Linked DNA regions of Oryzias latipes. The protein of the gene in region 1 purifies or fractionates together with the protein of each later gene. This does not show direct contact. Links are inferred from orthologs where the notes say so. Each region holds a gene or a part of one and is shown on either strand. Other genes may lie near its edges.

Region 1 (6,511 bases):
TTAAGCCCAAGACCTTGTTCCAGCACAAACTCGTTTTGTTAAATAATCACATGTTTTTGAAGACCTAGTTTGCAGAAAATGGTGTTTTGGTATTTTAACATGTGTCTGTGGCATTTTTCTAAAGATGGAGGACATGTATATAAAGAAATTAATTGCATTTCTCAGTATTTCTTTATTCAAATCGTTGCGAATCAGGAACAGAAAAAAAAATGAAGTTTGAAAATTAGCTTTTTTAGCTGTAGAAAATACGCCAAACGCTCCCTGCTTAAAGCTCTCAGCCACCGGGAGGGAAGGGGTTTGGTTCACGCCAACGGTCCCACCCACAACTCAGAGGAGAGTTTCTAATGAACGACTGCTGCTCTACAGAAACTATGTCCTAGAAACTAACACAGGTTTTTAGACTTTGCCTAAAAATGGCATAAAATAATTAAAAGACCTCTGAGATGAGGGGGGGGGGATGAAAATAAGTGATAAAGTCTATTTCAATCCCTCCTTTTTCAGGGGTAAGGATGGGGTAAGCAGGGGTGGACCATTGACTGTATTAGAGAATATAAAATAACATCCCTATGCGTGTATTTGAACCACACCTAAAATAGATGTACAGTGATGGACAAAATTGTTGGTACCCCTCAGTTAAAGAAAGAAAGTCCACGATGCTCACTGAAATGACTTGAAATGTTCAAAAGTAACAATAAATTAAAATTTATTGAAAATTTGATAATCAAAATCAGCCATTACTTTTGAGTTGTTGATTAACAGAATTCTTTTTTTGTTTAAACTAATGAAATAGGGCTGGACAAAAATGATGGCACCCGTAACTTAATATTTTGTTGCACAACCTTTTGAGTCAATCACTGCAATTAAACAGTTTTTGTATTTGTCAATGAGCCTTCTGCTCCTGTCCACAGGTATTTTGGCCCACTCCTCATGAGCAAACTGCTCCAGTTGTCCCAGGTTTGACGGGTGTCTTCTCCAAATGGAATGTTTCAGCTCCTTCCACAGATGTTCAATGGGATTCAGATCTGGGCTCATAGAAGGCCACTTCAGAATAGTCCAACGCTTTTCTCTTAGCTTTTCTTGGGGGTTTTTGGCTGTGTGTTTTGGATAGTTGTCCTGTTGGAAGACCCATGACCTGCGACTGAGACCAAGCTTTCTGACACTAGGCAGCACATTTCTATCCAGAATGCCTTGATAATCTTAAGATTTCATTTTACCTTGCACAACTTCAAGACACCCTGTGCCAGATGCAGCAAAGCAGCCCCAAAACAGAACTGAGCCTCCTCCATGTTTCACAGTAGGGACAGTGTTCTTTTCGTTGTATGCTTCATTTTTGAGTCTACCAACATAGAGCTGATGTGCCTTACCAAAAAGCTCCAGTTTGGTCTCATCTGTCCAAAGGACATTTTCCCAGAAGCTTTGTGGCTTGTCAACATGCATTTTTTCAAATTCCAGTCTGGCTTTTTTATGATTTCCTTTCAACAGTGGTGTCCTCCTTGGTCACCTCCCATGAAGTCCACTCTGGATTTATTGTTACTTTTGAATGTTTCAAGTCATTTCAATGAGCATTGTGGACTTTCTTTCTTTAACTGAGGGGTACCAACAATCTTGTCCACCACTGTATGTTTACATCCTGCTCACATTTGTGGAGAGCTTCACAGCAGTTTTGGCTCTTCAGAGGAGCGGAAGCAGAGACCAATGCATTTGCAGCTTCAAGGCCTGTTTTGTGTTTTTTCAGATCAACACAATTTCAGATTCGGGTTGCATAACAGTACAATATCATCACATAGTTTCAAATCTTCCCTATTGTCTTGTATACTTGTATACTTTCAACCACAACATAAAAAAATGATAATTGACAAAATAACACAAAAGCTCATTTTAATGAAGGACAAACCCACAGACACTCATACAGGGCTGACGCTTTATTTTGAAAAATTCTCTACTTTACTAGAAAGACCTTGTTTATCCTCTGCTGAGGCGAACACGAAAACAGAAAAGAGAGATTACGTGTTTAGCACCTCCCTATCGAGCAACGCTCCGACCCCTCAGTTCACACCGGTCTTCAGCGCTGTGTAGTCGAGCTCGGCTGCCTGACTCCCGCTGCACACATTCAGGCTGGGGAAGCCCCGTCTGCACCTTGCTCCATTTCCCTTTACCAGAAGCACTTCATACCCTGCTCTTCCTCCACCCCGTCCTCCACCCCACCGCTTAACCCCCTTCACCAACCTCTCAAAACGAGTTACAGGAAATGAGGACGTAGCTGCTGCGTGTCCACAACCAGGAAACAGACAGATAAAGGTTTGTGGTTCTGACGAGTGTGCCGCCCGCGTTCGTCAACATGTGTCAAAGGCTGTTCTGGCCCCTGTCAGTTGTGGACCCCAAACTGCTGAGTGGAAGTCAGAGAAACGGCATTTTGCTTACTGAAGTTGGACTGAAGTCCTCGTGGGCGGCTGCGAAGCGGTCTGGAGAGGACAGATCTACAGAAATGTTGCTGCAGACAAACCAACAACTTTAAAATCATTCCCTAAAGCACAATCATCTCAAAGATCATTTTAAAAAGATACTCACTGAGAGACTTGGATGTCTCCATCCGTTTTCATGCTCAGCTGCTCCAGACAGTTTATAAAAGCCTAAGTTCAACACATTTGTCAGGCGTGTTGAGAGAAACACACACCGTAACACAGTTTTTACAGCAACAGTCAATAGATTTAATAGTAGCTGAAGATCTCATGTGTCTGTCAGTTGGCTTAAAGACCCACTCCGATGGAAAATGGGGTTTCTGGTCATTTTAACAGGTTCTCATTTTTCTCAAGATGGAGGACAAATAATATGAAAATTAAGCTTAAAATTACATTTCTGAGTATTTCTTTATTCAAGTCATTGTGAAGCAGGAGGCGTTAGAAATAGACTTGTTTGTGATGTTGAAAATACACTGGGGGGGGCTACAAGTTTCCTGCTTTGCTCTGCAACGGGAGGGGAAGGGGGGCAGGGTTGCTAATCTACGCTGGCTCAAAACTTTATAGCTGGACAGCTCTGAGATTGCTTAGCATTTTTGGTATGCTGGTAATGTAATGTTAGGTTGGGGATGGGAGGGGTTGTAAGCTAGCGGGAGAGAGTGTAAACAGAGAGCTCTCAGAAACAGGGAGGGGAAGGGGGATGGGACTGTCCCGCCCACAACTCAGACGTGAAATTCTAATGAACTGATGCTGTTCTGCAGAAGCTATATCCTAGAAAACAACACAGGTTTGAATATTTTGGCTAAAACGGCATAATAATAATTAAAAGACCACTGGGAACACTTTTACAAAAGATGATCAGAGTGGGACTTTAAAGCTTCATATTGCCCTAGGGCCAGAGTCACAAATTTATTTGTGTATACTGTAACTCCATAAATTGTTGCAATATAACAGATAAGGTTATCTGACAAAAACTAACATGTCTCAGCAAATGTCTGGACTCAAATCATGCTGACATGTCTGAACATTTTTCCTTAGTAAAACCAGTTAAATGTTGGCTCTGTGGGCATCTGCATATCATATTACCGTCATGATGGTCACTATGAGCTCTGCTGCCTGGTCCTGGACCTGGTCTAACTGCAGCACCTGTGGAAGAATATCAACAGCACTGGAACAAACCCAGAACCAAATAATTCAAGCTTTATGCACTACCTTTCTAGCTTGGTTTCTCAACAGAAAAAAATACACTAGAACCTTTAGAAATGAATCTATTGAGCCAAAGGGATTTGTGGGTAAGTATCTCACATTGATTTCTCCTGGTTTGGTCTCCAGAGGTTCTTTGAAGGACTGCAACATCTGGACCACGCACTGTTCAAAGTGGTAAGGCTGCAAAAACGAGAGTATAAACAGACTCAAGATTAAAAAAAACTGGAAGAAGAGGTGATGGAACTGATGGATGGAAGTAAAATACTGTACACAGTTGGTATGAACTTCAAGAAAATTCTTTGTTTTGGATCTATCCTTAATAATAATAACCCTTTTATTAGCTTATTTTTAAGCACATTTAAAAGTGCTGTTAGTGTTTATCCGTCTTACTTCATTGTTTCATTTACAAAGTTTTAATATATCTCTCCTTCCTTTCTGTCTGATAATGTAAAAGGGATTGTAATTGAGTAAAAAGGATGAGTAAAATAGCCATTTTGGATGTGAGATGCAAAAATAATTCACTGAATGCTTTTGCACCATGTTTGATGCTCTTGTTGTTCCCAATGTAAATAAAAGTCTATAAATTCACAGCTAGAACTGCTGCAGTCCTCGTCAAACTGATTTTCCACACTAAATTGAATAACCACAGTTTTTGCTAAAAGAGTACCAGTTAATGTTGTTACAGCTGTTTGATTCTTTGGCTACAAAAACGTTTTTTTTGTTTTTTAATCATTGAAGGAACTTGTGAACTTTGATAAGTGTGCTGGTTATTTTAACACACAGGGGAAATAGTTTTAGAAGACAACACTGAAGCCTTTTAAACATTTAAAAAAAAAAAATCCAAGCAATATTATGGTGCGTATTAAAGAACATTTAGAACTTAGCCTAGAAAAATTTGCTAAAAAATAAATAAAGAAAGAAATATTAAACTAACATAAGAAAGGTTCATTCATATGAATGAAAGTACTTACTTTTGAGGGGGTGACAGAAAAACAATATTTATATTGGATGTAAAGTAGTTATGATGATTATTTATGCTTTAAGCACAAAAAGCTGATTTACAACATTTCATTTCCAAAATAGATTGATACCTTTGTTTGAATATTAATTTATTTTTAAAGGTCCATAAAATCCATAGACAGAAAAACAATTTTTACAAGTTTAAATGAATTTGACTTTTGCGCAAAATATCTTTAAAAAAGTAATATGTTAAAAAAATTTTAATCACAGAGATCAAAAATGAAAATAGTTCATGCAAAGAATAATAAATTATTCTTGTAATCAAAACTTCAATCTAACAGCGTCCTTTTGAAAATGTATAAATAGTAATTCATTGATCATTATATTTATAACCAAAGTTCTTAAATTCCTAAAAATTATATATACATTATATATATACATTATATATAACGTACCAGGCTGGTGATTCCTTCATTGTCTACAACCCAGTCTTCCTTCACAGCGAGTCTCTTCACATCTAAGTAAAAGAAACACAAACATAAAGCAAATCTAAAAAAAAAAAATAGTTTATTGGATTCATTTTTTTCTACAAAAAATGCAGCAGTACTGCCTTTTAATACCAGTAAAAACTGGTAATAACTATGTTTATTGTTTTGCGAATAAACCACACATTCCAGACAAGTTATTTCCTTCTAACTGTGTGTCTTTGTGTGCGTGAGGAACTGCTGGGGGTGTGAGAGATGTTACATGAGAAAACCAGGCTTTCTTCTCAAAATGACCATTTTTAACCACAAGTGAAACTTAACAAATCTGGTTTTGGTCTCAAAACACTTTCTCTCTTCCAACTCTTGAAGGTGTAGAAACGACTCGAGCTTTTCCTCAAAGTTGTCCACGAAGCTAAACATGAAGGACTGCATCCTACACCTTTTTTGGGGGGTTTTCAAATACCACTGTTGCAGCAAATCATCAAAAATGTAATCAAAAACAGATTGCATCAGCACAAGCTTTTGCAGTTTAAATACAAATCAGTATATGTGGTTACAGATGCATTTTCTAACTTCTTTTTTTTAAGTTTTTCTTTTGCAAAACATTTCTGTTGTTCAGATCAGTGGGCTCCAACCTTTTTCAGGTCACGGACTGGCCTGCAAGAAGCTAAAGTGGGAATCTGATTTCTTTCTTGCTTTTATGCTTTTTGCCTAAAAAACCGTGAGCTACAAAAGTGCACACCAACTTCAGCCTCGTCCTACTTTAAAGGAGTGACAAATAAAAAAAGGCACGAAGACTGATATTTTCTAAAGATAGTAATAAACCTGAATCCACCGTTTGAACAACTTTATTAGCAGCATCCTCGTAACATTAGACAGCCGGTGGATGAATATTATATATTATCATTGTCGTGTGTGAGAACAACTATTCGATATCTCTGAAAATAAAAACAATCCAAATTTTCAATTTAATTTCAAAATTTCAATTAATTTTCATGTAATATTTTAATAAACAAACATTTCAACAAGTCCTCCATCTAATGCTGCATGTGGGGACTTTGCAGACCACTTCATGGGTAAAATCAATGCAATAAGATCTAGTCTTTCATCAGTACAATACTTATTTTAACAGATTAACATTGTTTTTACCAGAGGAAACACTGGGGAGTTTTGTCTTGGTTGAGTTTTATCTCAAGTACACAACCTGCCTTGTAGATCTCATTCCCACTTCACTTTTTAAAACATTTGATGGATTCTTTAAGTCAGAGCTTTTAAATGTAGTAAACTGTTCTCTTCAGATGGTTGTCTTCCCCTCTTGCTTGTAAAACAGCAGTGGTGAGGCCTCTTTTGAAGAAGAGTCATTGACATCCAAACACTCTGGATAACTGAAGACTTGTATCCAAC
Region 2 (6,511 bases), on another chromosome or scaffold:
TCCCTGGCTTTGGTGTCAGGAGATGCATTCAAGTGACAAAAGGATTCTGACAAAACTGCATCAGCAGTGAAACCATCTTTCCACCTCGTCCGGTGCTCAGCGCTGCAGCCCACACAATGAAGAGCTGGAGCCCCATTTAAAAAACAGTGATGACTAGAAGGAGCTGAAAATGCAGAGTTGATGCTATATTGATGAATGAAAATGAAAGTCATAATTGGCAAAGAAGGAAAGAAAGAAATGATCAAAGTTGACCATAAATAAAGTGAAAACAGCTCAATAACAAAGAAGATGTGTCTGTGAAAAACACAAGAGCCGGGTATTGAACCAGCGAGCTTCTGCACCAAGGATTCCCCATAGATTTCAATGGAGGCCGAAATCCTGGAATATCTTGAAAAGTTCAAGGGGCCAAAATCAAAAAAACATTATCGATGTGGCATCAATGCCAACGTTCTGTGGGTCTGAAAAGCTGATTTAGTCAGAAAGTCATTCCAAGGTCATCATTCAAACAGCCATGAACACACGACGCTGCTTAACGGATGAGCAGCACCACACGGCCAAGGCGCCTTCAGGTTGGACGGTCAGGTGTTGCAGGTGAACTCGTCTCAGAGTGTCATCAGCATCAAAACACAGAACAGTGTGTTTGCAGCGAAAACACTTACCAGCACCGTGTAGATGTGTAGACATCTGTAGACGGGAGAGAAGTCCACCAGGTCCTGAGCTGTAAGGATCTGTCACACACACACACAAGAAATCAGGTCAGACACAAGAGACCTGCGAATCTGACGAGCCGAATGAAATTCAATGCTGCCATTTCCATATTCCAATTTGAAAAACTAAATAAGGGAAAACAAAAGCCTCAGGAATCCTGGAAAGTTTAGGATTTAGGCTCCAAGAACAGTTTTTAGTCTGACTCCAAAAGCAAACTAAAGCAGTTGAAGGCCTATATATTCTTCCGGATTTATTGATTTAACTTTTATTATAAGGTAACTGCAAGATCAGACGTTTCTCCCATCAGTGTTGCTCATAGTTGTAGTCAAACAACAACACAGCACTGATAAACCTGGACAGTTATGAGGATGTCTGCACCACATGCAGACAAACACTGAAAGACCTGCAATGCAGACCAGAGAATATGTCCTCACCTCATCATCAGCGTCCTCTTCGTCTCCTGCACCGTCATCCATCAGCAGACCGTTGGGCATGTGCGAGTGCGCTCGTCCTTTCAGGGAGAACAGGGGTTTGGTGTAGTGGTCTAAGCCGGCCTGCTTTGCCACCGTGCTGATGAAGGTCCTGTGCTGCTGCGCCTGTGCACAACTCACGGTGAGGCGGATGGATCCAAGCCACTCGGCTGAGGATGAAGCTGCCGTCACACCTGGACCCACCTGTCTGATGGCAGTCTCTCCAACCTTGTCTGAATGCTTTCGTATGCTCTCCAGGAAGTCCTTGAGGTCCGACATGGAGACGTCCTTGATCTCCTCTCTGAGTTTGGGCAGGTTTTCAGCCATGATCTGACAGAACCTGTACTGACTCACTCTGTAAAGACAAACACAGCCCCTCATTCTCTCACAAGTGCATTTTGAAATGGCTCTTGATGGAAGTCGGGCAGAGCTGCACGATGAGGAATTATTCTTCATATTCAAGGATGAACAGCAAACGTGATCCTACCTGGGGATGTACACCTTCTCCAGTTGCTCCATGGTTTTCAGAGCAGCATAGTACCTGTGGAGAGGAAGCGACTTGAGGCTGGAGGACAACAGACTGCTGCTGTGGCGCCTCTGAGGCACTTTGTCCACAACACGTTTGATATATTTCTCATTTCTCGGGACGTTTTTTTCCACTTTTTCATTAAGCAGAAGGATTTCCGTTCAGCCGAGACAAAGACAAGATGTTTCAACAGTTCTGTTCAGCGGCAGCCGCATTCAAACGCTACTTCTTAGTGTATATGTAAGGGCTGACCAAGTGTGCATTATCAGAAATGAATGCACACAAGTGAGTTCATTTCTGATAATGCACACTTGGAAGGCCATTAACCCACTTATACCATGACATATTCAACTAGTTTTTAGTCCTTTATTCTTGCTGTTTTTACGGTTTGGACCGTTTTTCTAGGCGTGCAGTTGTGGTCCATCACTTTTTAATGCACACCCAGCAGCCAATCAGAATCATGAATTCACCCAGACCATGGTATGATGCACCTCATTTGCATGAATGCAGCACAGTTCCTTTCTAAAAGTTTTTCGGTTTTAGATTTTTTAAATTGTTTTTTAATTCACAGTCTGGGAATAAATGACGTGGAGTTCAATGTTGGGTCAGTGTGCTAAGCTCCCATCATTAGACTGTTAAGCAAGCTGTGAAGGGATCTAATTGGTCGGTCAGGGAGTGTAAAATGTGTCGCTGACAAACGAATAAAGGAGACACTCTCACAAACTGCACTGCGAAAAGGTTGATCAAGATGCAGGGCAGCAAAACGGACGACGCACAGCCACGTACACGACTCACTGACGAGTCCAGAAGCTCTGCCACTGGTGTTTGAAGTACACTTCACCATCACACACACACACACACACACACACACACACACACACACACATGGTGGCCATCATGGTCTAATTGACTTGGATTGGCTGAGGGCCACAGCGGAGCGGCAGTGAGGGGGCCTTGTTGTGAACAAGGGCATACTGAGGGTCAATTGTCCTTCCACTGAATGGTCTCCTTCTTTGGAACACAGTCATGAACAAGAAAGGGTCATTATTTTCCTGTCCAAAGTGAGCTCCCCTCCGTTCTTCATACAGGCAGGCACATAAACACAGCTCAAGGGGAAGTTCAGGGGGTAAAAGTGAAGTTCAGGGGAGCTGCAGAACGGGGCAGGGGTTGAAAAGTCTGAAAGGAACCTGCTGCACATGTCCTGCATCGTCTAGATCTCTGTCAGGACCGTCATTTCTCCAATCATTCAAACTCCTTCGACTAAATATTTTCTGTTGGCTTTTAAAGCTCCTAAAATATGGAGTGAAAATCCTTCGTCAAAGCGTGCTGAGTTGAAGGGAAACGTTTTTCTTTTCATAAACATCGACAACTGTAAGTATAGGATGGGTTCTCTCTGCGCTCGTCCTCCACCCTTATCCTTATCCGGCGCCACTCACACAGGAAAGACTCAGTTGTGGCTTAAGCCTATCCCAGTGGAAGAGTGTCCACCCTGACATTGGGTCATCGTGGGTTAGAATCCAGTGGGGTCAGACTGAAAATGTTCCCGATATCTCCCTGGGGGTTACATGCAGTGAACAGATAGAGAGACGGCTGAGAGACAAGGACGGGGACTTGAGTGGAAAGGAACCAACGGTAGAGACTTGTTTATGCTCTCAGGACCCAAGGTTTGTGCCTGATGGGGGCTTTCAGAAGTTCAAATTTATGTAGGAGTTTTGGTTGAATGCTCGGTGAGACATTTACCTTTTGGATGTCAGCTGCTCCTTCAGTTTGCTGTACATTTCCAGCACTACAAAGGAAGGAAGGAGGACAGGATTACATTCCTGAAAAGTTTTTTGTTTTACAGTGAAAAGAGAAAACACAATAGACATCCAACTGAGAAGTCTGCTTTAGCTGAAATCAAAGCACACAGGCTGTGTCCAAATTTCCTCCCTAACCCCTAAATAATACAAAACTCGATCGTGCCGGACAATCTAGTGTCCTGGATTTTAAAAGCAACTCCGACACCACGCTCACTAGTTTTTTGTTTGTTTTTTTGTTAAATGGCGAATACGCCGTCTCCGCTTTCACAAAGTGAAAATCTAACCGGTGTGAGCGTTTTACGACGACCATTTAAGAGGAAAACATTGATGGTTTATTTAAAAAATATATTTAAATCCTTCTTCTTTTGCAAATATTGTTCAAACACAATGCATTGTGGTCTATATGCGCCAATCTAGTGATCATCGATGCCCACTGCTTTTACGCAGAGACTCCTGGGAAATTTCTAGGGCACTAAATGTTGGAACTGTCGACTCGGACAGCACTCTAAAATGGTGAAGGCGCTTTATGGCGCACTGTGTTGTGAAGGAATTTGGACACAGCCACAGACGTGACCGACCATTGCATCCTCTACAGCAAGAACCCAGTTTCCATAGCAACGGACAGGGCAGTGAAAGTGTAAGACAGCTCACTGTTTTTCCTGTAGTTATTCGGTGTAAACGTCTTTTTGTGCGCATTAATTATTGTGTGCGCAGAGTATTAATCTTTGGTGAATATTGGTGAAGTCACCAATATCTAGAGAAACAGACGTGAGCCTTAAACACCTGGAATACAGAGCTGGAGCTTCTCCACTGTGGTGGCCATGTTCCTCTGTTGGATGCGACAGCGGATGACCTCCTCCGTCTGAGCCGTTACCTGGAGGAGGAAGGAGAGGATGGCAAAACCAGAGCGGTGTAAGGTCCTGGGGGTGGAACCACAGGCTGAGTTTGGACATCATGAGAGCACACTTACTTCCTTCCCTGCTTCCTGGAGTCTTCGGTTGGTGTCCGTCACTTGACCCTTAGAAATGAAAGCACAAGCAGAGTTGAGATGTTTTGTTCAGAAGACCCTCTGGAGGAAGATCTACACCAGGACGGAGCATGTGCTGCAGTTTCCACACATGAGCGGATAGTTCAGTGGAAAAGGTCACAAATTCAAGTCTTGAATCTTTTTCCTTCCACAAAACAAACCCCTAAAAACATCTCTGTAGGCCCGTCCTCCAGCGACTATGAAAGCAGTGTTTGTTCTTGCTGCTCTACTGTTTCATCGAATTCAGCAAATTTGAGAAAATAATGAAAAGAAAAAAAGTAACTCTGATTGTGGGACTTAATACATTTAATTGAGATAATTATAATTAAAAAATCAAATTCAATACAATTAGCAGAAAACAAATGAAATGTTATATTTTAATTTGGTTAAGAATAAAAAGACCCATTTGAATAAAGGTCAGACGTGCAGGAGACTTCATTATGTTGTTTATTGTATTTTAGTGCTTTTTATTATCTGTGATCTTCTTAGTTTTGATAACGAATCCATTTGTCCATTGTGGGATCAATTAAGGTTCTATTTCCTATGCGCTGCAGGATTCTGCAGTAAAGCAGGAGCAGCTGATAAGGTGTCCTACCGAGTCCTTCCTCTGGACTCGGATGCGTTTCCAGCATCCTGTAGAGCTGCAGCTACAGCTCACCGTCTCAGTTTCCCTCAGCATCAGCGCACAGATGTGAGAAGGAGCTGCTGTTTTCAGACCCTTTCTGGTTGAGGGATGAAGGTGACGTCTCATTTTTTCCCCCCTTAGCATCCATGTGTGTTGTAGGAAGCGCGGCGGAACCTGTTTTCTTTCTGCTTCCCTCTTCATGCCCTTTCCACTCTTCCTCCCTCCCTGCAGCTGCTCAGCTTTGTAATCAGCTCATTGTCCATGGAGGAGCACGGACAAAGGCTGGCAAATTCAGATTAACCAGGCAGCGGGGACCTGAACCCATCGGCGGAGCGCTGGGCCTTTCATGGGGTTTAATGGCTTGTGACAGGCTCTTTCTCACAGATTCAGTGACAAACTTCTCAATTCTGTAGGTGGATTTTTGAACTTTCAGCTCTTGTCATGCGGCACGGAGCCATGACCCATTTGACCAGTCAGCTTTCGGATGACGGCCTTCCCAACCGGGAAACAACGAGATAATCACTTTCTTTATGTCATTCTGCAGAAGCATTTCACATGAGCAGAGTTCCAAACAGCAAAGGAAAAAGTCGGTTTTTAGGTCTCACTTTCAGGTATTTAGCTAGAACTGTAAAAACTCTGAGGTCCAACTTTTGCATGTTTACTGTTCCTGCAGCTCTGTGCGAGTCAGAATCCGCCCTGAATGAAAGACCAGGACAGAGAACCGTGACGCCTGCACAGCCGTGGTCTTACCATCAGCTTCTCCGCATCGGCCCGGACCTTCAGGAGCTCTGTGATGGCGTCCACAAAGCCTTGGTGGTGGAAGTTGCACATCTTCTCAATCTCGCGGTCATGGTTCCTTATCCGGGTATCGAGCTTTTCCATGAACCGCTTGTGAGCGTTGGGCTGGTCATCATAAATAGACCTGAGACAAAAAACAGAGGCAATGGAGACAAAAGAGAACATTTTCATGGCGTCTTTTCTCTGGTTTCCAGCCCTCATCTATCCTGCAGGTGATCTGTGCAGATAAAACCTAAATGCTCAGGCGATTGAGCAAGTCGGTCAATGATCGAAGGGTCGGCGGTTCAATACCCGCTCACCCCAGCCAGCTGTCATTGTGTCTTTGAGCAACAGACTTCACCCTCCCTGCATATGTGTATGAATGTCCCGGTGATGGTCAGAGGGGCTGTACTGGCAGCCGACCTCTGTCAGTCTGCCCCACGGCAGCTGTGGTACATCAGTAGTTACCATCACCAAATATGAATAATTAATGGACACATTGGAAGAACTTTGAGCGTCTGGAAGGCACAGAAAACTCCAATTTATTATTATTATTATTATAGATTAACACTGATTTTT
Region 3 (5,286 bases), on another chromosome or scaffold:
TGACTTTGTCAGCAGCTAATAGATGCTTTTCTAACAATAGAGAAACTCCCAGGATCCTCTGTTCTCTTTTAATTTTCCTTTCAGCTGCTTCCTTTAGAGGGTGCCACAGAGAATCATCTCCCCTATTTTAAAGGGCCTATATCATGCAAAATCAACTTTTTGGAGCCAGGATGATTCATTCATTCCTCACTAAAATCTACCCCCATAGGGGTATTTTGATCCATTCATGCATCTCTGAGTATTCCTCTAAAAACCTGCTCTCTGAGCACCAGCCCCTCCCAATCCACAAAAACGAGCAGGTCATTAAATTTGACATCACAAAGTGAGGAACCGCCCCTTTCAGGAAGAGTCTAGGGTGCCAGCCCCGCCCCCAGGCTAACTTTCTCAGTGGAGCTAGCGGTGATGGGCTAAACGCTTTCATTTTCTGTGAACAACATGGACATCAATCCAGCTATGTAAAAGTTCGGATGTTTATTTTTCGGGGGAGAAACTCAGGCACACTGCTGAGGCCGACTCTAGGATGATGTCATGAAATGGGCGGTACCCACAGGAGAGAAAGGCGGAGCCTTAAAGATCAAGTCAGCTTACTTCAGGATAGCAAAAGGGGCTGTGAAAAAAACTCATATTTTATAAAAAATGGTTCTTTAGTGTTTCAAAGGTAATATATGATCATATATATGGATATATTTTACTCTGACAGGCTAAAGAAAAGCACGATACAGGCCTTTTAACTCATCTTTTTCCTCGTCCTCATCCTTTTCTTTGGCTCCTCCTCCTCTGAGCATGTCTGAATCTGGTTTCACATCCAATCATCTTGTTCTCCTGATGCTCTTATTTTCTCCGTCCTCATTTGTGCTTAAGAGAACTTCATCATCTCCATTTCTGCTGAACACACTTGATCCAGATAGTTAGCTGCAGGCTGTGCAGGGAGGGCTGGGTAACAGAAGTGGATCTGGAGGACCAGGATTCAGCAGTCCTAGCCTTCATCCCTCTTTGTTCCTCTTCACTTCTTTCCTCCCAAAACTCTCTTTGTTTACTCGGACATGTCAAACGTTAGAAGTATGAGGGCTACGGGGCAGAGAAACGCCTGAGACCTATGTGGTCAGAGCAGTCCCGGTCCACTAAACTGTTCCGGTTCTGTTGAACAGCATCACCTGAACGAGCTCCTGACCCGGAAGTGGCTGAGCGGCTCTCATGCTGTGGACACCATCTGTGTGACGGTGGAGGACTATTTCAACGACTTCAATAAAATCAAAAAGCCCTTCAACCAGGTACAGTGAGACCGGGTTTTAAAAACGCAGACCCCCCTCCTGCAGGAGACTGTTAGCATGGCTGCCGCCTGCGTTTTTCTGCAGGAGATGACGAAGGAGGCGCTGCGGAGGGTGGTGGTGGAGTACATCAAAGCAGTGATGCAGAAGAGGATGAGCTTCAAAAACGCTGATGAGAGGAGGGAGGGCGCAGAGAGGATGATCAGGGAAGCCGACCAGTTCAGTTTCCTCTTCAGGAAGCTGGCGGCGGTGAGTTTCTCTCTTTCACTGCACCGGTCGCACTTAGGAGCCACCAAACCCCCACCCCCCCACCCCCCAGAGCGCTGCACAGTTGGTCAACTTCTGCCTGCTGCAGGGCGAAGACACAGAGCGTCTGTGCGGCGCCATCACCGCCATCGCTGAGGTGTTTAAGCTGACCGATCCCACGCTCCTGTTCCTGGAAGTCACCACGCTGGTGTCCAAATACCCCGATATCAGGTGAGGTGTGACACAGCAGAGGCATCACTCCTGAAGGCACAGTGTGACAATGATGCAGTTATTGAGAGCAAAAATGACCATTATGTCAAGTTTGACTATAGATCAGTGGAAATTTTCAATATAAATACATATGCACACAAATTGTCTCCAAACATGACATTCCTCCAGCTTTAAGGGTTCATTTCAGTTGAATTTGGTCAGTCTGAGTTGATCATTCAGAAATGAAGCCTGTGTGTGTGCGCCACCTGCAGCAGTTGTGTTGGGCAGGTGAGGCAGCTCTTCTTCTTCTTCTTCTGTCCCCTCTGCTGCAGGGAGGACCACATCCAGGCGCTGCTCACCGTTCGAGGCGACGCCAGCAGAGAGATGCGGCAGATGATCATCGGGACTCTGAGCGAGAACAAGGTGGCCAGCTCTGCCGCTTCGCAGCCCATCTTCAGAGACATTCCTGTCCCCACCATGTCCATGACCTCCATGACCTCCATGGCAACTTCAAAGCTGCTCAAATAAAGCGGGAACCACCTCTTGAATCTTCTCCCTCCACATTTGATTTCAGGTTTTTCTTCTCATTTGTGCTTCAGCATCTATAAACCCAGAGCTGTAAACATAACTGCAGGGTTTCAGGTTTCAGATGACTGAGCTGCAGGTAGGACGTTTCAAAGGTTCGGTCCTGCTTGTGACCATGCCCAATGTCATTTTCTCATGGTGAAGTGACTGAAGCAAGCCCCCATCTGAGGCACCATTGCCTAAGCTCCGGTTCAGTCTACAGCAGCTTGACTCTTTCAGTTTTTGAATGTTTGGTTTGATCCGGTAAAGTCCATCACAGGGTTTTTGACCGCCATTTTTTATTAATTTCAATGTTCGTTATGAAGAAACGGGGAATGTTTACACTAATCTTCCGCTGATGAGGGATTGAAACATTTTCAGTTCAAAGGAAGATGCAGTGTAGATGCATGATGACCACTGGACAAACAGAAAAACCTGGATTGGTGGGGGCAGCATGATGATAAGGGGGGCATCAGTGGAGATGGGATATTGTCACTACAAACAGATGTCAGGACCTAAAAACTCCACAGGCTGGGACTGTATCCTCAAGATGCAACATGCACCCAAAAAAAAAACTACACGCGTGGCTTAATTTTTGACTTAAAAATATAATTATTTTATCAAATACAGTGTCACATATTTGTAAGATTTTTAAAAAACTGAAAATAAATGTGTGCCTCTTTTCTTTTGAAGTTTAAATATCCAAAAATGTTAATGTCTAGTTATATTTTTGCTTTGTCAGTTTGGGTTTCACAAAACGACATGTCATTGCATAAACATTTGTCACTTTCTTAGACTTAAGTAACTTAATACGGTTACTGACTTTGAAATCACTTGAATTAATGAGTTGGGTGGTAATTTAAAAACAATGTAAAATACTTGGGATGTTTGATTGCAAAATAAAAATTAGATTGAAAATTGAGTTTCTATGACTAAGTTGTTTATTACCGACAACCCGCTGTTTTTAAGCAGAAATGTCGCTGTTTAAAGGTGGTGTGTCACCGAGTCTCCGGTAGGGGGCAGCAGAGCCCAGCGCGGACGTGACTGCAGAGAAGAAGAAGAACAAGGGAGCCCTGGACGCCGTGTTTTATTTGGATCGTCTGCAGATTTGTGGACATGACTGACCCAGTTCGGCTTTAGTAGCAGTTCGGACCCAAACATTAACCGTCCGTCACATCAGCATCGCCTTTCGCCGCTGACAGACCGGGTATGGACTTTTGACAGCGTTTCATGCTAACTCGTGCTGAGCTGTGCTAAGCTAATTTTGCGGGCGGAGGACGAGAACCGCGGCAGAGACCAGAACCGATCTCAGATCTGGTTTCTGACGCCAACGGCCGTTTGCTCGGTCAAGGTGAGAGACCTGAGACCAGGGACCCGTTTTGAGTCCAGGGACCAGATCTCAGACCAGAGGCCAGAACAGGAACCAGCTCTGAGTTTAGACAAAGATCTGAGACCAAGCAGATCCCAGTCCAGGGGCCAGAGTCCGGTCTGATTAGCGACAGGTCTTCCTCAGAGCGTCGCTGCTGCTTTGGCCCCAGCTCAGACTAGTAAACAGGTTCTCCTGATCCCGGATCAGGCCCAGCAGGCTGTCAGGAAGCTGACCACCAGCGTCCTTGGCCTCCTCCTGCAGGACCTGGTCTGCTGTCTCCTCCTCTGCCCACATTCACCTCTTCACTTTGAGTGTTTGATCTTCCAAACTGCTGCTCCTCTGCCCCCGCTCTCTGATGCTTGCTGACCACGCCCTCTTCTTCCATATGACTCCTCCCCCGTTTCTTCCATGTGCAGGGGCATCTCCTGATCATGGTGGACTACTACCAGGTTTTAGGAGTACGGCGGGACGCGCCTGCAGATGAGATCAAAAAAGCGTGAGTAGCTGATCAAAGGTCTTCTTGTTAGTTGGGTGGCGACTGCCGGCTCTCCGTCTGCCCCATGGAGCCCTTCTTCCTGCTGGGATGCTGATACCTGAAGCTGAGCACCAGCAGCTGACGGAGAAACACTCGGCTCATGGAGTTCTATTTCTGTGGGAACGTCTGCCGCCGGCTGCAGACCAGACGAGGTTTCTTCTCATCACCGATGCCATCTGCCCTTCTGTCCCTCTTGTCACCAGTGCTCACCTCTCCCTCCATCTTCTTCAGAATCAAATGTCATAATGCAGCTGCATGTTTTCCTCTGCATTAAATCACAGGGAGAGGGTTAATGCAGGTCAAAAGTTGTTCCATCCCTCCTCTGGAAGTGCTGAGTCCCGCTTGATGGAGAAGTGAATATGTTGGTGTGGTAAACTCCATCCCTCACACTCAGGACCACGGAGGTTTCAGAAGTTCACAGCCCCTTCCACTGTGTTTCAGGCTGAAGCAGAAAATGTCTGACTGACACAAAAAAACCTCCCCCGGAGTTTCAGCAGATGCTAACCCCAGCCGGGTGGTTGTTCTGCTGTCCTGCTGCAGGTACCGTAAACTGGCCCTCAGGTGGCACCCGGACAAGAATCCGGACAACAAGGAGGATGCTGAGAAGAAGTTCAAGGAGCTCTCCGAGGCGTATGAAGTCTTGTCTGATGGTGAGCGTTGCAGCTGTCCATCACTCACAAGCCTAATGGTTCAGTCTTTATGAAACCAGCCTTTTTTTTTTTTTTTAGTGATTACCAGATATTCTGGGGGGGAGACTGAGGAACCTATAGACTACTGCCCCCTGTTGGCTGCTGAAGTTGTTACCAACCAGACAGATTTATTTCAGATTACGTCTAAAGAAGCTGTGCTCAACAAAAGGCTGTTTTTCTTCTAATTTGAAATGTACTACACTATTCTATACTATAGTTTTTAGTGAATTTGACACCTTCATGTGAACTTTTCTGGTCACGGTCATGGCTGCTGACCTTTAGACCTCAGAAATCCAAACGTTTTACTGCAGAAACGTTTTAGTGCATCTCCCTGCAGACACCATCTCTGAAGAGTTGGGGTCACCCTTCGGTTATGCTGCTTTCTCAGATGATTGTGGTCATTTT
Region 4 (6,511 bases), on another chromosome or scaffold:
GACGATATCCTGTTTGTAATCAGGACGTAGACGGACGAAGTAGGGGGACGATGTCCTGTTTGTAATCAGGACATTTATCAGGACGTAGACGGTTGCAGTAGGGGGACGATGTCCTGTTTGTAATCAGGACAACAATCAGGACGTAGACGGACACAGTAGGGGGACAATTTCCTGTTTGTATTTAGGATGTAGACTGACGCAGTAGGGGGACAATGTCCTATTTGTAAACAGGACATTAATCAGGACGTAGACGGACGAAGTAGGGGGACAATGTCCTGTTTGTAATCGGGACGTCGCTGACTTGAACGCTATGCAGGGCGAGGAAGCCATCGGACGTCCAGTTGCTCACGTTTGTTGTCATTGGCTGCACGTGTGATAGAGCCGCCCGCCGTCTGCTGCTTTGTCATTTGCATTTCTGTACTTTAAGGTAAGGAAAAGGAATGAGCGCAGCTCCAAATGTTCCACCTGCCTACCAACCCACAATGCGCTGAGGCTGCGTTCGTGCTGTAATGTTTTCTGGATGTCATCTGATTATGATCTGCTGATGTTCATGTATGACCTGTGACCTAACCTGTGTGCTTTCTTACATGTGTGTTTCCACACAGCAGTCCTGTAGTGCTGTTGTTGGGTTGACTGGTTTTGGTGCTATAGGTGGTGCTCCCTCTCCCCCACCCCAAAAACAAACCCTGCTGGTTGCCCCATTGGTGGAGGGATGTGGTGTCTGCCTTTCATCACACTCGTTTCCCGCTTCTTTTTCTTCTTCCTCTTTCTTCTGGTGTTTCTTGGTTGTCTGGACCTTGCTGGCCCCACTCCTCTCCTCTGGACTCTTTCTCTGTGTTTGTGGGACCAGGGACCATTCGCAAGGCTCAGAACCTTCTGAAACAGTACTCACAGCATGGGCTGGATGGGAAAAAGGGGGGTTCTAACCTCACTCCTTTGGAAGGTAAAGCACCTTGGTCTTCTCTGTCTCTTTTTTCCAGCTGGTTTCAGTCAAACACAAAGTCCCAACAGCCGGCCAAAGCAGCTTCTAGACTGTACCGCTTCAGATCATTGGACACATGATGGACAGCACTCACGATGAACGGAACCATTCTGCAAGTTATCCCTCTGAAAAAGCTGACTTTGGTCTGCAATGTTCATTATAGAAACATTTTGACACAATGTGAATACAGAATCCAGAAAGCACAATGTTTGAGTTTCTTTGTATAATAGAGCAGAAAATAAATGTTCAGTCACTGAGAAAAGTTCATCTCAGTACTTTGTAATGTGGTTCCAATGACAGAGGTCAAAGGTTTGGAACCGATAGACTTTTTGTAACTGTCAGTAGCAGTTCCATTGTGGGTGGTTCATCAGGGAAATAGTAAAAAAAAGTTGAAAAAAACATTATATAGTAAGAAACAGCACAAGGCTGGCTCCTGTTCCCCACAAGGTTTCCTGAAGATTTTCAGACGATCTGAACTGTAGTTGCTAATTTGGTCCATTCTTCCATGCAGATCTTCTCTAGAGCTGTGCTGTTTTTGGGGCTGTTGCTGGGCAACCACTCCCTCCACAGATTCTCCATGGATTGAGGTCCAGGGACCGTTGGAACACTCTAGAACCCTGAAATCCTTTAGACACTCTTTACTTTGCTGGGTGATCTTTGGGGGATTCTTTTAGTAATGCTGGAAGATCCAGACATGTTCCATCCCTGATGTTCTCCCTATTGGAAGGAGGTTTTTGTCCAAAATCTCCCCATACGTGACCCAATTCCCCTTTTGCTTCATACGGATCAGGCCGGTCGTTGACCGGCTCCCCCTGTAGTTCTGGACTGTGTACAAACTTGTCCCTGGTGTCCTCAGACAGCTCCTTGGTGGAGAGGTCTGCCTGTATAAGGGTGTGGACAGGTGTCTTTTCTACAGGTAACCAGTTCAAACAGGTGACATGAACACAGGTAACCAGTGGAGGATAGAAGAGCTTCTTAAAGAAGGAGGAACGGGTCTGTGAGGAACTGAATCCTTGCTGGCTTCTAGATGAATCCTTATTTTCTGCTCCATTATACAATCATTATTTAAAGATCAGACATTGTGATTTCCTGCATTCTTTCTTTACATTTTGTCTCTCACATTAAAGTGTTTCTATGATGAACATCTCAGACCAAACTCAGCTTTTTAGAGGGACGACCTGAGGAATCTGTGGCTGACAAATATGTTTTTGCTTCACTGCTTTAAAGCAAACATTTGTCTTCAGGCGTTTTTAACACAAACCTCACTTGAAGTCAATTGGCTCTGCTAAAAAAATTTCTTTTAATAAAGTTCAAACGGATTTTTTATTTTAGTTGACCCGGCTTTGAATATTAGGTTGTCTAAAAATGCAAAATAAATGCATTTACACCAACAATGTTAAGTTCAATTATTCCAATGTAATTCAGTCTCCACTCCGTCCTTTGCCCCCACAAAGACATGTTTTTAGAAAACCTACAGATTAACCAGCAATCCCATCAGTAATGAAATTAAAAGGTTTGATATGATGAAGATAAAGTCAAAAGTGGCACAAGCACCCAAATCTGACCTCTTACTTCTTTAAAATGTCTTTTTTGATTGATTCATTTATGCATCAATTCAATTCAAGTTTATTTGTAGAGCCCAAATTCAAACAACAGTCGTCTCAATGGGCTTCGCACCGGTAGACCATGAACACATGAGACCTTTCTCCCATTAATAGCTTTCAATCAAGTCGGGTCGGGAAGTTATCAGGAAAGAAGAATTCATTTTCTGCTTAAACTCCCATCCAACTGATAAACTGGTGTCAGACGTGGGGTTTTCCCATTTTCCCATCAGGAAATCTGTCAAAAGCTGCAATGAATCCAAAGCTGTTGTGACATTTGAAGCTGGTTTTTGTCCCACAGTTTAACATGTAGACTGGTTCAGAACCAGTTTACATTTCACTCATCTTGGGTGGGCACGCCCTGCCTTTTCTCTCTGGTGCTTGGTGGTGGGCGGTTCAGGTCAGGTTTGTCCCCTCTCCCCCCTCTTAGCCTAGTCTTGACCTCGTTTTGACTAGTCTCCCTGCTGGCCCGCCCCACCCACCAGGTTACGATCATGACCCACGGGTCAAACACATCACTGAGGCCCTGACTGAGAAGCATGGGGCTGCCCCAGGTGAGTGACGAATTCCAGAAGTTCAGAGGTTGATCAGAGAGGCAACCTCAGCTCAGTTTCTTCCTTTAACAATCAAGTTCTTATAAAGTAAGAAGTTAAACTCCGGGCTGAAGTTGTTGTTTAGATCCTTGTCTTATGTTTTGTCAGCTGACGGGAGCTCTTGTTATGCAACTCTTAGGGAAAGACGATGTTCTTGACATCGAGATCGACTCCTACATCCACTGCATCAGTGCCTTTGTGAAGCTGGCTCAGAGCGAGTACGCCCTGCTGACCGAGATCATCCCTGAACACCACCAGAAGAAGACCTTTGACTCCCTCATCCAGGTCAGAGGAGTCAAACCAGGGAGCTTTCATTGAGGATTTCCCAGACAATTTGGTTTTAGGGGTTAGACGTAGTGACACAAAAGTATTCAACAATCCTTTTATCTGTAATCACCGGGCAGAAGTACAGCATCAGATATGCAGGAAGGGCTCTTGAGGATTTAATCAGGTGCTGCTGTTGAAAGTAAAGCTTCTGTAGAACATCCACCTGAGGTTCCAGGTGTTGGTCATTTGCTAAAGGTTTCCCTACCATCTACAGTAATGAAACTCCACAGTCAAGAAAAAATAAACCAAAGCAACAATCAAATTTGAAACCTCATTCTCCTCTGATTGCTGACATCAACCATCCAGTTTTTTTCCTTTTTTAGGTCATTCTCTGTTTGTTGGTTGAGTGTCCAGTAGATGAGCAGTTGACGCTAAAAACTCTTTAGTCACTCTTACTGTTTTTCTTCACCGTATCTGACCATTGATACCATAGATTACCATAGACACGGACACCTTTTATCTGGCTGAAAGGATTTTAATGATTAAAAGCAGGACATTTTTCCCTAAGCCACATTCTGGTTGCATGCTCAGTTTCATCATGTCTGTCCACAGGAAGCATTGGACAACCTGATGCTGGAAGGAGACAACATTGTGTCTGCAGCTCGCAGGGCCATCATGCGCCACGACTACTCGGCGGTGCTCACCATCTTCCCCATCCTCAGACATCTGAAGATGAACAAGTCAGACTTTGACTCCACACTTCAGGTTGGGTCTGCGGCGTCTCATTTCTGGAAGAAGCTGGTCTTGGGGTGTTTAGCGACTGTACTTGATTTGACGTGCAGGGAACGGCGGCGAGCACCAAGAACAAACTGCCAACGCTCATCACGTCCATGGAGACGATTGGAGCCAAAGCACTGGAAGAGTTTGCAGACAGCATTAAGGCATGCGGCTCCCACTTAAACCACCCCTTGTCTATTGGCTGCTGGTCATTTACATGGGTTTTCTCTCCACTAACTACAGAATGATCCTGATAAAGAGTACAACATGCCCAAAGATGGAACAGTGCATGAGCTCACCAGCAACGTAAGCTTGGTTTCTGCTCTGCACTGCCTCTCCGGTTATTTGCCGCTTGTTTGAGCTCTCTGTCTCCGTTCAGGCCATTCTGTTCCTGCAGCAGCTGCTGGACTTCCACGAGACTGCAGGAGCCATGCTGGCATCTCAAGGTTTGCTCCTTTGTGTAGCTCTGCAGACGTCCACCCACCACCTGTCTGTCTGAAAACATCATGGCAGATACACAAACACGAGCACCCAAAGGGAATTCAAATTTCAAGTCAGTGCCAGGCATCCATTTCTTCCTTTCCAGCCTGCTCATGTCAAGAATTTGATAGATTTTAGCTACAGTGGGGGACAGGAGAGAGAAATATTGAACAGGAAGACAGTTCCTGCCAAATGACAGAGGAGAATGGCGAGAATCTGCCTGGAATTTTGCAAACCAATAGAAACAAACCTGGAGACACAGAGATAAGTGCAGAATCTCATATTAGCTGGAGAACGAACCATCTCAGTTTCTCCTTTTACCGTAAGGTTCAGCTTTTTTGTGTTGAGTAGCCACTGCTTTTTAAGCCAATAAGACAGTAAAATGAATGGTGCGCGCCGATCGACGAGCATATATTGAGGAGCTTGCTGAGGAGGCAGAAAGAGCTACAACCCGAGGAGAACAAGGCCAGCTGTACAGAATTAGTCGACAAGTATGTGGAAAACACCACTCTACTGTCAGCTTACCAATTAAAGATAAACAGGGGAAGCTTCTCACAACAGAAGCAGAACAAGATACCCGCTGGGCTGAACATTTTCAGGAAGTTTTGAACAGAGATCCACCAACAGAAGGAGCAGATATTCCAGAAGGAAAGACAGACCTAGACATCAACACAGACCCACCAACAAAGGAGGAAATTGTCTCAGTTATCAAGTCACTGAAAAGCAATAAAGCACCAGGTCACGACAATTTGAATGCTGAACTGTTCAAGACGGACACAGAAACAGCATCAAAAATATTGCAACCTTTTTTCAAAACCGTTTGGATATCAGCAAGCATACCAGAAGAATGGACTAAAGGTGTAATCATCAAAATTCCAAAGAAGGGCACACTCAGCGAATGTAACAACTGGCGTGGTATCACCCTTCTGTCCATCCCCAGCAAGATTATGGCCAAGATAATCATCAATAGGTTATCGGAAGCTGTGAATGCAATACTTAGGAAGGAACAAGCCGGTTTTAGAAAAGGGAGAAGATGCACGGAACAGATTTTTGCTCTGAGAAACATAATAGAACAAAGTGCTGAATGGCAGCAGCAGCTCTTCGTTAACTTTATAGACTTTGAAAAAGCATTTGACAGTGTGCACAGAGACAGCTTGTGGCGAATCTTGAGGGCTTATGGAGTACCGACCCACATGATAAAACTGATAAGAAGCTTCTATAACAACTATAGATGCTGTGTGGGAGGAAGTGACATCTGGTTTGAAGTGAAAACTGGAGTCCGTCAAGGATGTGTGATGTCAGCTCTCCTCTTCAACGTAGTGATAGACTGGGTGATGAGGCGCACGACTGAAGCAGGACCAACTGGCATCAGATGGACACTCTTCTCCACCCTCGAGGATCTCGACTTTGCTGACGATCTGGCACTGATCTCTCATATTCACCGACATATGCAAGACAAGACTGACCGGCTAAGCCGATTTGGATCCCAGGTTGGTCTTAAAATCAACCAAAGCAAGTCAGCGATTTTGACCTTGAATACTACGTCACAGCCCCCCATCAAGGTCAATGATCAGAATTTACCATTTACTGAAAGCTTTACTTACTTGGGTAGCATCATCACATCAGAAGGTGGAAGTAATAAGGACATACAGAACAGGATTAATAAAGCCAGGGTTGCATTCATAAGCATGAACAATATTTGGAAGACATCACAGTACAGCACTAAGACAAAACTGAAGCTCTACAGCAGCTGTGTTCTGTCAGTATTACTGTATGGAGCAGAGTGCTGGAGAATGACACAGCAGGACTTG

What was found. The genes of interacting proteins can lie anywhere in the genome.
Region 2: the proteins of exoc2 (region 1) and exoc6 purify together in Homo sapiens (affinity purification with mass spectrometry; 5 studies listed by BioGRID and IntAct, counting the BioPlex papers as one, with this or other methods). This does not show direct contact. The link is inferred for Oryzias latipes from reciprocal best matches to the Homo sapiens genes EXOC2 and EXOC6.
Region 3: the proteins of exoc2 (region 1) and exoc3 purify together in Homo sapiens (affinity purification with mass spectrometry; 6 studies listed by BioGRID and IntAct, counting the BioPlex papers as one, with this or other methods). This does not show direct contact. The link is inferred for Oryzias latipes from reciprocal best matches to the Homo sapiens genes EXOC2 and EXOC3.
Region 4: the proteins of exoc2 (region 1) and exoc7 fractionate together in Homo sapiens (co-fractionation; 4 studies listed by BioGRID, with this or other methods). This does not show direct contact. The link is inferred for Oryzias latipes from reciprocal best matches to the Homo sapiens genes EXOC2 and EXOC7.

What each region holds. Positions count from the first base shown.
Region 1 is NC_019862.2:21,223,037-21,229,547, reverse strand, and holds part of exoc2 (exocyst complex component 2), read right to left. Parts: intron 5,140-6,511; coding exon 5,078-5,139; intron 3,843-5,077; coding exon 3,762-3,842; intron 3,603-3,761; coding exon 3,543-3,602; intron 2,631-3,542; coding exon 2,569-2,630; intron 2,492-2,568; coding exon 2,422-2,491; intron 1-2,421. UniProt on the Homo sapiens protein: Component of the exocyst complex involved in the docking of exocytic vesicles with fusion sites on the plasma membrane.
Region 2 is NC_019877.2:23,122,076-23,128,586, reverse strand, and holds part of exoc6 (exocyst complex component 6), read right to left. Parts: intron 6,078-6,511; coding exon 5,906-6,077; intron 4,522-5,905; coding exon 4,474-4,521; intron 4,378-4,473; coding exon 4,287-4,377; intron 3,491-4,286; coding exon 3,445-3,490; intron 1,720-3,444; coding exon 1,666-1,719; intron 1,534-1,665; coding exon 1,383-1,533; intron 1,305-1,382; coding exon 1,143-1,304; intron 729-1,142; coding exon 660-728; intron 1-659. UniProt on the Homo sapiens protein: Component of the exocyst complex involved in the docking of exocytic vesicles with fusion sites on the plasma membrane.
Region 3 is NC_019875.2:5,013,773-5,019,058, forward strand, and holds the end of exoc3 (exocyst complex component 3), read left to right. Parts: intron 1-1,148; coding exon 1,149-1,271; intron 1,272-1,355; coding exon 1,356-1,517; intron 1,518-1,623; coding exon 1,624-1,745; intron 1,746-2,056; coding exon 2,057-2,252; 3' UTR 2,253-3,210; downstream 3,211-5,286. Other genes in the region: dnaJ homolog subfamily B member 6-like, read left to right, coding at 4,089-4,153, 4,733-4,842. UniProt on the Homo sapiens protein: Component of the exocyst complex involved in the docking of exocytic vesicles with fusion sites on the plasma membrane.
Region 4 is NC_019877.2:22,401,609-22,408,119, reverse strand, and holds part of exoc7 (exocyst complex component 7), read left to right. Parts: intron 1-850; coding exon 851-943; intron 944-3,068; coding exon 3,069-3,137; intron 3,138-3,315; coding exon 3,316-3,461; intron 3,462-4,055; coding exon 4,056-4,208; intron 4,209-4,285; coding exon 4,286-4,384; intron 4,385-4,463; coding exon 4,464-4,526; intron 4,527-4,599; coding exon 4,600-4,666; intron 4,667-6,511. UniProt on the Homo sapiens protein: Component of the exocyst complex involved in the docking of exocytic vesicles with fusion sites on the plasma membrane.